Caenorhabditis elegans: one gene and its partners. The protein of the gene in region 2 interacts with the protein of the main gene of each other region in a pairwise test. Each region holds a gene or a part of one and is shown on either strand. Other genes may lie near its edges.

Region 1 (3,754 bases), on a different chromosome or scaffold from region 2:
CACGCTAAAGTTTTAATTTTAATGCTGAACACTAGAACGTTCAGTTTAGAATTGCTCATTTACAACTGTTCACTGTCATTTTTTTAAGATTACATACAAAACTGCTACTAAAGAAGAAAAGTTTCTCTAAATAAATAATTTTATATCAAAAATTGGTTATTAAATCACTTAATTTCCAGAAAATTATTCTAGGATATTGCCAAAGAAATGATTTTTTGTGAAAAATGTTCGAAAATTCCAGGATTTTGATTCCAATTTAAGTGTTTTCAGGCGTTTCTAGAAGTTTTTCATCTTCTTTTATCCGGCAAGCAAATTGCAAAAATTTCTGTTAAACGCGGTTCAAATTTGTGGAAGCTAGCATCATGGTGCATCGACATTTTTTTAATTTCTCTTAAAGTATCATTCGAGTCCTGTATTGTCTGCCTTCATGCACTAATTGTCAATTGAGTCCCTTCAAAATAATTTTCCCTGACATCTGGTAGTTCCCTGCAACTTCCACGTTATCTTGACAATTTTCTTTTATCCGAGAGGTTCCTTCTGTAAAACGATTCTGACAAACTAGTCCACGTATTTAAGAGCAAACATCATGGTTCATCAAAGTTTGTGAATTTCAAAATAGTAAACCTAATTCATAGAATCTCTAAAATGGACTTTTTTGTGAGAAATGCTCAAAATCGAAGACTTTTGTCTGGATTCGATTATTTTCAAACGGCATTTTTAAATGATTTATTCAAAACGACAGTATTCTTCCAGTTGACTAGGATAGTGAAAAAATTTCTGTTTCACCAAAAAATTCATGTAAACTCGGTTCAAGTTTCTGTAAGCTAACATCATAGTGCATCGATTTCTGTGATTTTCAACAAATTGGCACGTTTGACAATTTTCCTCACAATTCCATTTAACTCCTGCTTTATGTCTTTACGGGTAGCCTGTCTGTCGAATACTTTCCCTTATATGTAGCTAGAAATAATTTTCAAAAACCAATTATTTTTCCTGAACTCCACTGATTTTCTGTAGTCTTATCGATTTTTTGACAATCTGCTCCCAGCCAAAAAGGAATCTGTAAAAATTTATGTTTCATTTGAAAATTCCTGAAGCAATTGCAAAAATCATGGTGCATCGACAAACTTTTATCAACTTTTTTAGTTTTTAGTATTGCATGAAAAGTCGTTAGAATCTGTTCTGGTGAAACTGTTCTGGAATGGTCTTTCGATTGAAAACTTTTCTCAAAATATAAGTTTTTGGTTGGCTGAGCTTCAAATTCAAAAAAAAAATTGCTTTGAAATTTTAAAAACTCACAAAATTCATGAACTTCCATCAATATCCAATATGCATTTAACCATTATTCTCCAAAAAACACGCTCCGCAACTTGTCGTCAGTGTGTATGCAGACATCGGTGAGGGACCCAAGTGGTCGCATTCGACAGCCCACATGATACACGCTCTCGTCGTCTCGTGCCTCTTTTCCCTCGCCACCTGCACTCTCTCGTCGACTGCGGGCGATCTCTAACCACTCTCTGGCTGCCTGCTCGGGATATTTCCTCACTATTTGACTGCCGGGGGTCTCTTGTGTCTACGATCGATAGGGAAACGCACGCTCACACAAACACTCTCCCGCACACATTGCGCGTTTCGAAAATGTATTAGGCTGATTTTGGCGAGTTTTTTCTCCTGGTTTTCTTCTAGTTTCCCTCAACTTTTTAAAATTAAAATTTTCTTTGATTTTTCCTCTTTTTTTTTTAAATTCACTAATATTCTCTTCAAATTAAACTCTTACAAAATTTCCAGAAAATCTACACAAAGCAGAAGCAGCAGAAGCCGCCAGCAGCTCAACTCCGCACCAACACCGTCTCCAATGGCCGACGTCTACACCCCGACCAAGACAATGGACGGCGCCTTCCTGCCAGCAGTGGGATCCCCGAACACCTCCATCGACTCTCCGGGTAAGTCATCGGAATTCTACTATTTTTGAATTTGAATTCTAATTTGCAAGTTCCTTATTTTCTTCTCCACTTCATCCTATTTCTTCGATCTCGAATCTTGATATCAAGCACTTTCATTTTTCTTTGTGACACAGTTCCGGGTTGGCGAAAAAGAAAAAACCGTTTTCAGAGAGACAATTGAAATAAAGAGTTCTGTTTTAACCGCACAATATGAAGGAAAATAATGTGAGGAACAGAAATGCCCCAGATGTGGTCGGATACCCAGAAAGGGATGACCGGGCTTTGGACACGAATTTTCAGGTTCTGAAGTGCCCTCGGCATCTTGGAGCACCTCTGACGTGCTGAGAGCAGTAGAATCCAGAAGTCAAGATACTTGGACTTGGACTTCAACTTTGGCTATATGGGACCAGCAGGAAAACTTCAAGCTTCTACCTAGCAGGAACCAGCTATGTTTCTTGGATTATTAGGCTTTCACTTCAAGGCTCAGAAGCTTAAGTCATTTAGGATAGGCTCTCGCTCTTCTCTTTTTCCCTCTTTGGGCCTAATTTCAAGTTGAGAACAGTGACTACGTATTTTCTATAGAGAAGATAAGATGTGTCCTGGTTCCGCGAGAAAAAGGGATAGGGAAACAATTATTACAAAGTGATAACGGCCTGATTTCGAACAACTTGCTGACTATGCTGAAGCTGTGGCCTATTTTTTTTTCTATCCTCTAGTAGAATGCTGGAAAAATTGAATCCGACTATTTTAGTACAGCTGGAATTTTTCGTTTTAAACTTTGGGGGTCTATGGTGCTTTTTGAAACTAGATTGAAACTTGCGACTACTTTTAATATTTCAGAAATGTCCTGAACAGATCTGAGGTCTTTTGGAGAATTTTGGAAGTTTTGTGATGATCGGGCAAGATTACGGCAAATTCATTCAAAGTTCACAAAGACATAAGAATGCATGGAAAATATCTGGCAAGTTGTGCCAAGTTCTGAAGGGTTGTACAGTTTTCGAAAACATTTCTAGAAGTTTGGAAAAGTCTAGAAAAATTATGGGATTTGAAGAAAATGTGGAAGGCTTTTGAATACTTTCTGTTAACTTTCTGCAGATTTCTGGCATTTTTAGGGAAGTTCTATATCTTCAGTAAGAGCTGCAGACTTTTGCTCACTCACTGGAGCTTTTTTGGCAAGTACGGGTAAGTTCTGGAAGTTGACCGAGTTTTTGAGTAGACCGGAATCAATCTGGCAAATTTTGTTCCATGTATCTGATAGCTTTTGAATTTTTTGAACAATTGTTATACTTCTGGACATATTTCTTACGTTCCGACATTTTTCTCGGTGGATATTTTTTCAAGAAACTGCTAGATTCCAGATATTCTAGATAAAAAATACTCTAAAAATACAAGAAAATTTGAATCTTCCTTGAATATATTCTAATAATTTCCAATAGGCAGTTCAAATTCAATTTTAAATTTCAAATTTTCAGCAGTCTACGTACCGACACCACTCACCGCGCCATCCACATCGAAGACGACTCCAGTGAAGCCCGAGGATCAGACAACGCGGCAGAAATATGGAGGTAGGTGGAAAACTCTTTAGAATTTGTATCCTAACATCACATTTCAGGTACATGGAAGCTCCGACACTTGGGAATGAGATGGAGATGTGCTCTTCCCACCCGCCGATTCCCACTTTCCCAGCCCCTATTTCTATGTAGCGTAGATACGACTATTCACATTTTAATGAATTATAGAACTCTCCAGAACTTTAGCAAAATTTTGAAAGGTCTTGGAAAAATGGGAAAATGTAATTTTAAAAGCGGACA
Region 2 (3,754 bases):
ACTCGTTCGTTTCAACTTTGTTACTACTTTTTTCTATCTTTTTCTGCTTTTCATTCTCTTCAATTTTTCGCGGTCCCATCTCTTCCGCTTGTGACGTCGTCAACTTCTTCTTCTTCCCCTACTTCTTCCTCCGTCGCCGCTGTCGTCGTTTTTCTTTCCTCTTCATAATCGCTTTCCGTCGACCACTCGAATATTCTGACGTTCGCCGTGCCGCGACTCATCCGTTCGTTTCTATGATTCGAATTTTTTGAGAAAAACTAGAAAGCGTTGATATTGTCAAGTGTTTCGTTTTAGGATATATTCTAAAGACGAAAGGACGGATGCAAGTGTGTGTATGTATTTGTGCCATTGCAATGACGAGAGCGGAGCAAAGAAAATGACGAAGAAGAAGAAGCAGTCCTTCTCTTCGCTCATTCTTCTACTGCTCGTTCTTCCCATATATACTCATTCCCCCCGGAGAATTGTTCTTTTCCGCATTGCTGCTTCCCGTTGCCGCTGTCGTCGTCCGCCTTTCCTTTCGATTCGAATCGGATCGACAAGTTCCAGACGGCAAGAGTCATCCCTTCCATCCATAAACGCCATCACTGTCGTCGTCGTCGTCGCCTTCTTCTTTGAAAAAATGAGAAAAGCTAGAAAAAATGACGAATTGTGTTGGAGTCCTCGTCCTTCTCCTCTGCCTCTCCTTCTTTGGCGATGGCACACAACAGCATGGCCACAACACAAATAACGCGATAACTTTGTTTCGGCTCCTATACAAATTTGGTTATTTTTGTTGGTCGCTCCAACATTTTTTTCGTCCTCATCCGAGCCATGACTTCTCTTCTCCTTTTCCTCTATTTCGTCTCAAACTTCCGTTCTTTTTTACCTAATCATCATTATTAGCCCCATCCTTATCATCTTCTGGAACCCACATCGTCATCTTCGGTTTCTTTCTTTTTGAGGCACAAGCAACAACTACTTTTCTCGCATCTTCTCTCCTCCAGCTTCTCTTCTTTATGAGCCGGGTTAGGGGCTCTTCGAAAATTGTTTCCACTCGGCTGCCTTCGTGTTTTCGACGTGCCCGAACTTGCTCAAAACCGAAGCTCACGCATCGTTAGGTAACGAAAGAATTACACGTAGGAGGGACGCACTGCCGTTTGATTCTTATCTGTCATCGTCAGGATTGTTGCAACCTCTTCAATCCTCCGGATGTGCGTTGATTCCCGCACGATTAGACAATTTGTTGTGAAGGTGTACGCTATGTTTTGTCGTAAAATAGGTCACACTTGGAAGTTTTATTTTGGCAGCTTCATAATTATTCTAATTTATGATGTGATGGATTTTCTTTTTATATTTCATTTATCTGATTACCTTTCTCATTTTCCATATCAATTCTTGCTCGGTTCATCAGCTAATTCCATTGGTAGTGTCAGAATTCATGTAGCAGATAGATAGATACTCATAGATATTCCTTCGTCGCCTCAAGTATCAAGTTTCTTGCTTCTTTTTCTTCTTCTTCTTCTCTTCGCTTGTCCATATCCCCCGCGAGTTCTTCTTTCCTTTTCTTTTAATTGTTTACTTCTTCTCCTCATTCTACTCATCTTTTCCTTCATGTTTCAGAAAAAATTGTGGTATTTTGAGACAATTTTTTCTTTTCATTTCTCTATGTTTGCCTATCACTGAGGCTTTTTCTCTTGAAAATCTCTGCAAATCATTCCAATCAAAAATAATTTCAGGACACCTTGTCCAGTAGACAAAACCCGTCTACTTAGGACTCTGCGCTCATCACAAATGGTGTTACGGGCGCTCGAGTTTTCGGACTCGATATCCGATTCTCCGTGGTTTCGACAAAATTTGCATGATCACGAAGTGGCACTGGACGACGCTTTCAAGAACATCAAGCTCATTGAGAATCAGTGCAAGGAGCTGATTGCGTGCACAAAAAGTATGTGGCTTTTCTCTCTTTTTGACCCTTTACTTTTCCATTTAATCGCGTGGAATTTATAATTATTTTTATTGCAGAGCTTTCAACAGCACAACGAGCATTCGCAAAGACGTTAAGTGAATTCAAGTTTGAAACAGTCGGAACAAATCAGACAGATGATGAACGGTTTATTGGTGAGACTTTTGTTTAGCAAAAATTTATATAAAAAAATACGCGATGTTAAAAAAAAAAGTACAAAACATTTTTATTTTAAAAAAATTTCGCAGTAAAAAAATTAATTTCGGAATTTTATTATCCAGCCAAGAAAAATCGAAATTTGCTGAAAACATGTTTTTAAATGTTTTAAAATTATTAAATTTCAATTTTTTTTAATTTACCATAGTTAAAAAAAAATTTTAAACATTTTTAGGAATAGCAAAAAAGAGTATTTTGCCGTAGCAACCGTTCATTTTTGCCAAATTTTTCAAAGTCATATTTTTTACAATAAAAAAATAGTGTTGAACTCTCTTTTAAAATTTTTTTAATTGTCTCGAATTTCAATATTCCAACAAAGACCTTCGAAATCTGAATTGTTCGTGAAATTTTGAAATTTTTATAAGTTTCCTTCAATAAAAAAATTCGTTTCAGTTTTTTCTCCCAAAAAATCTATCGAAAGTTAACAAAATCCAAATTGCAAGTGATTCTCATTGTAATTTACCAAAATGCTTAATTTTCATAAATATTTTTATTGTCTTTGAAATAATATTTCACATTTTCAGCCACATGTCTAAAAGAATTCGGAAGTCTGATCAATCAAGTCGAAGATGAACGAATGAAACTTGTTGGACAAGCTGAAGAAAGTTATTTGGAACCAATAAAAAAGTTTCGAACTGAGGCGATTGGTAGAACATTGAAAGAGGAAAAGAATAAATATGACAAAGAAAGTAGCAAGTTCTATCAAACACTTGAAAAACATCTTCATCTGAGTACTGTTCGTAATAACGATTTTCGAGCCGCTGATGCCCAATTGGAGACTCAACAGAAAAACTTTTTTCAAGCTTCGTTACAGGTTTGAGTTTATAAAGTTGTCTTCAAATTATAAAATTGGAAAAAATTTGTGTTTTAATTTTCAGAATTAATGAAATTTTGGCCATTTTCTATTTTTAGACTAAAATTTCTTTCTAAATTTTTTTTTGGAAAATCGAAGGAATTTTGGTTTTTCGAATTAAAAAAAATCAACAAAAAAAATTTTTTTTCTGAAATATTGCGAATTTAAAATTTCTTTCAAAAAAAAAAAAACTTTCTGCCTTTTCAGAATTTAAAAAAATCAAAAGTTTTCGTTTTTAGTTTTTCTAAATAGTGTAATTCAAGTTTTTAAGAATTTGCCGTTGGAAATAGTACAATATAAATTGCTATTTTCAGTTAAAAAGTATATTCAACATAATTTCTCAAAAATAAAAAATAAAAAAAATTTACAGTATGTGGCAGAAGTTCAATCAGTTCAAGAACGAATGCGGTTCGAGTTTGTCGAAACATTAGGATCTTATGTTTATTCGTGGCTTTCATTTTTTCATGTTGGTAAGTATTTGTACAGGTAAAAAAAAGTTTCTGAATGATTATACAAATTTTATAAATTTGAATATTTTTCACAAAAAAAAATAGAAATTACTTGAAAAATCAGATTTTCGACAACTTTGTCTCGATTATAATTTTGAAAATAAAACTAACTATTTTAAATCACAAACTTTTCTATTTCACTTACAGAAATTCGGATTTCATGTAAAATTTCGACCAGAATGAAAAAAAAATTAAAAATTAAACAAAAATATATTTTTTCATTTTTTTTCTATA
Region 3 (3,754 bases), on a different chromosome or scaffold from region 2:
AAACGACTACCATCTCCCTTAATTGTTCAATTTTTGAACGAGAGGCAATTTGTCTGAAAATCTGGAAAAAAAAAGTATTTGCATCAATTGCCCTTTTGTTGCCATTCGTGAAACTTGCACACTCAGCAGCAAGTGATTCCTCCAGCCCACACGTTTTCGGCGCAAAAGTGTAAGTGATAAGAGCTTCAACTGGTACCTCCTGGAACCGAGGAGCTGACAGTGCTGCTCTTTTTGGCAGAAACTAGCGAATGAGCACAAATGCACTTTTACTTTATCTAGGTTACTATAACCGATGCTTCTTCTATTACCTTTACTTCCTCCATTTTACTCCTAAAAACTGCTTGTCATGTGTTTGAACTGTGCGGGGCCGCCTTGAGGTCCTTTCCGACCATTCTGTACCAGGTTGTTCCTATTTGGATTTCCTCGAAGAAGTTGAGGGCGCGAGAAAAAACCGAATGGCTGCAGGAGACGCCGCGGCGATGGTGGTGGTTACGCAAACTGTGCTTGAGCAAACATGTGCCTGAATTGAAAAAGAGAAGAAGACGATGACGATTAGGAACAAGAAGGCATTGAAGACGTTGAAGAAGGTCATCTTTGAAATTATGTTCAAATATGTTTTGGTTCTAGTTACCCTAGATTTCAAAAATACTTGAAGTACTCTAGAAACCCGAGTTGATATTTGTAAGGTTTATGTTAAACTCTACGTCATATTTTGAGTAACTGCCTACCGTAGTTTTTACACTTATTTGAAAAGAAAAAAGCACCTAGCTACTTTTGTAAGTTCATATTCATTTTAGGGCTAACTTACCTGTGCCTGGTAAAAGCCCACAAGACGTCTAGAATTACTATTGCAGTCTTTTCAAATACGTTCTTTTCTGGAATGGTTCTTGTTGCCCTGGATTTCAAAAATTCTCTAGAAATCCGAGTTGGCAATTTCATGCTCGGAAAGTGCACTTTTTTTCGAAAGATGATCGCTCTCAATAATTAACCTTCATAATACACATCATACTCTTCTTTTTTGCATTCACTTACAGTAAGCACTAGATATCTCGGAATACTCTAGTTGGGTTTGAAAATCTCCACGGTCCCTTTTCTATTTTTCTAGCCGTCCCCTATATCCACCTACAGTAGCCTTTGCGCCTGTACCTCTGCAGCACTATGCCTAACTGGGAGCAGGTGAGCCAATACCAAATAACTTTCCCAAAACTCTTTCTCCTCCCATCAACGGTCATCCGATCTCAATATGGCCACGTCATGCTCCAACTTCACGTACGCTTTGGCTCAAAACGAGTTCACTGACCGAACTGTTTGTCCAACCAAAACCTTGTGGCCGAGCGCAAGAAAGAGTTGTGTGTTGCTGATATTTTGTAAAAAGTAAACGTATCCTCTTCCTCCTACTGCTGTTGCTGTGAAAGTCAGTCAGCCCCGGAAGTGAACAGTTCGCTGATGCGACGACCTCCCACCCTTCGGCCTCCTCCTCTTTTTCCCCCAACAAAACTTGTGTCAACATACTGTGGTAGGAGCGAAAAGGTACCGCGCGCCCCATCCGCATTTTGCCATATCCATTCCTTCCCGAATCGGCGCTTGCTTCCTGGTGACCCTTCCCTTATCTTGGAGCAACTTTCACTTTTTCCACTTCTTATCTCCAATTCTCTCGTCTTTCTAGACAAAATAGATATCAGAATGTTCCTCCAGTTCCAAGTACATTGATACTTTTTCTTTCTCCAAATTTTCCCACACCTTCTTTTCATTACTTTTTCTCATTCGTGGTCTACTCTTTCTTATTTTTGATCTCGGTTCAATATTAGAATCTGCAAACTTAACAACTGAAAAAATAACATTTCTAAACTTACTATAACATTTCCACTTTTTAATTGCATTCTTTAAATTTCGTAAATTTAAGATGAATTGTGAATCGTTGCTCACTGCCCTTGACGTATCCACTCTACTCTCAACTCTTTCCTCACCTGAAAAAGAACATCGTCGTAAAAGACGACGTGGTGAAGTAGCCAATCCATCAAACACTCTTGATGCTCTTGTTGCTCGCAAAGCCGACGATCAACCATTTGAAAAGAGATATCTAAGTGAACAAGAAGCAATTGAAGGACCAGATGATGAGATTGAAATGAAAAAAATGGAATTGGATCCTGATGTATCTACACGCACCTGCTCTACCTGTGGTTACCAAGGAAAATGGGTGTCTGAGATGATTCGTCATAAGAGAGTTCATACCAGTGAAAGACCATTCAAGTGTCGTTATTGCTCCAGAACCAGCAAGTGGAAGGCTGACCTTATTCGACATGTTGCAAGTGAGTTCATATTACTTTTCTATTACTTTAGGTATTTGAATTCGCTTTAAACCTTTTGTAATTCTGTCAGATTTGAAGTTTGGCAGCTTAGAACAATTTTTGAAATGTAATCAATTAGCTTCTGCTATACCTGAAAATGTATTCTCCAACCTCAATAATTTCAGAAACTCATGGAATCCGTGTTGTCTCCAAATACAGCCGTTCGAAAGTCTTCGATGCCACCAACAGTTCAATGGATTCTTCGTGTTCTTCAGACTCTGATCGATGCATAATTTCTGAAAAGAGAACAGTGTTCTATCGTTGCCAATTGTGCTCATTTGAAGATGAAAGAGTATCTGTATTGAACAGTCATGTAAGCCATCTTCACAACACCTCCCCATGTGTTTGTCGATGTGGCGCTAAATTTGAAGATGTCCAAGGAGCACTTGCTCATTCCAATGGTCCATGCTCCCATGTTGATATGATTTACAACGTTATGCCAACTTATGAGAAAGGTAAACCATAATTTTAAATAGTTTAATTTCATGATTTAAATTCCTTTTTTCAGCATCTCCATTATCCCCGTGCAGAAGCGAATCCTCATCAGACAGCGGAATTCAGACAGATCCTGAAGAAGAAGCATCGATTATTACATCATCCCTACCAACTCCTCAACTTGGATCATCACCTCTTCTGTTGTCACCAACACTTCCAGTCACTCCATCTTTCCTTCCAGACATTCAATCAGCTCTGCTGAGCCTTCAGCCAAATCCATTAATGTCATTATACTTGGCATCTCTCCTACAATCTTCCTTGTTGAATAGTCCAACTATTCCAACATCTTTTCCACAAATCATCCCAACTACGATACTTACACCTTCTCAACAAGATGAGATGGTTGACGTTGAGATGTAATTCTTAAGATCTTGAATCCATAATCTCAAAATTTATAATTAAAACAATTTATCACTTCTTTACTTGAATATCTCAGGTTCATATACTCGAACCAATATATTTTCTGTTCTACTTAGCCAATCACGCACACAAACCCCAAAAAAACCCCAAATCTTAGGTATCTACTCACATACGAATCTCGTCTCAACTCTCAGCTTCCTGGTGAATTCATATTTTCTTTGCTAATTTTATTTTCCTTATCTGTTTCTACTATACGAGTCATGTTTCTATCACACATCCCTCCATATTTCTCTATCACATTTTTCACCGATTTCTCTTTTTTTCGGGATTGTTCTTATTTATATCGTTACGAATATTTGGAAATATACGCTTGTTTAAAAAAGTATTATCACCACTGCATAAACTCATATTTTAAGCGATATTATTGATTTGTATTTGCTCGGCATTTAGTGCCTCCTTTCTCCCACCTTTTGAGGTCTTCTCACCTTCCGCCCACCTTTTTGCCACCTGCTCCCCACCTTTTGTAAAAATATCACAATTATTCAACAAAT

What was found.
Region 1: the proteins of T04C9.1 (region 2) and zfp-3 interact in a two-hybrid assay, tested with the Caenorhabditis elegans proteins (2 studies listed by BioGRID).
Region 3: the proteins of T04C9.1 (region 2) and ztf-2 interact in a two-hybrid assay, tested with the Caenorhabditis elegans proteins (2 studies listed by BioGRID).

Annotation. Positions count from the first base shown.
Region 1 is NC_003284.9:1,444,678-1,448,431, reverse strand, and holds the start of zfp-3 (C3H1-type domain-containing protein), read left to right. Parts: upstream 1-1,788; 5' UTR 1,789-1,855; coding exon 1,856-1,943; coding exon of another isoform or gene 1,944-1,972; intron 1,973-3,415; coding exon 3,416-3,508; intron 3,509-3,555; coding exon of another isoform or gene 3,556-3,754.
Region 2 is NC_003281.10:5,991,504-5,995,257, forward strand, and holds the start of T04C9.1 (Rho GTPase-activating protein 26), read left to right. Parts: upstream 1-1,715; 5' UTR 1,716-1,770; coding exon 1,771-1,924; intron 1,925-2,001; coding exon 2,002-2,097; intron 2,098-2,682; coding exon 2,683-2,972; intron 2,973-3,381; coding exon 3,382-3,481; intron 3,482-3,754. Other genes in the region: T04C9.2 (uncharacterized protein), read left to right, coding at 377-727.
Region 3 is NC_003279.8:7,289,369-7,293,122, forward strand, and holds ztf-2 (Zinc finger protein ztf-2), read left to right. Parts: upstream 1-1,903; coding exon 1,904-2,309; intron 2,310-2,473; coding exon 2,474-2,803; intron 2,804-2,856; coding exon 2,857-3,203; 3' UTR 3,204-3,584; downstream 3,585-3,754. UniProt on the Caenorhabditis elegans protein: Transcription factor. Represses gene expression, probably via binding to DNA consensus sequence 5'-[AT][CT]TTCC[AC][AG]-3' in promoter regions. May play a role in pharynx morphogenesis.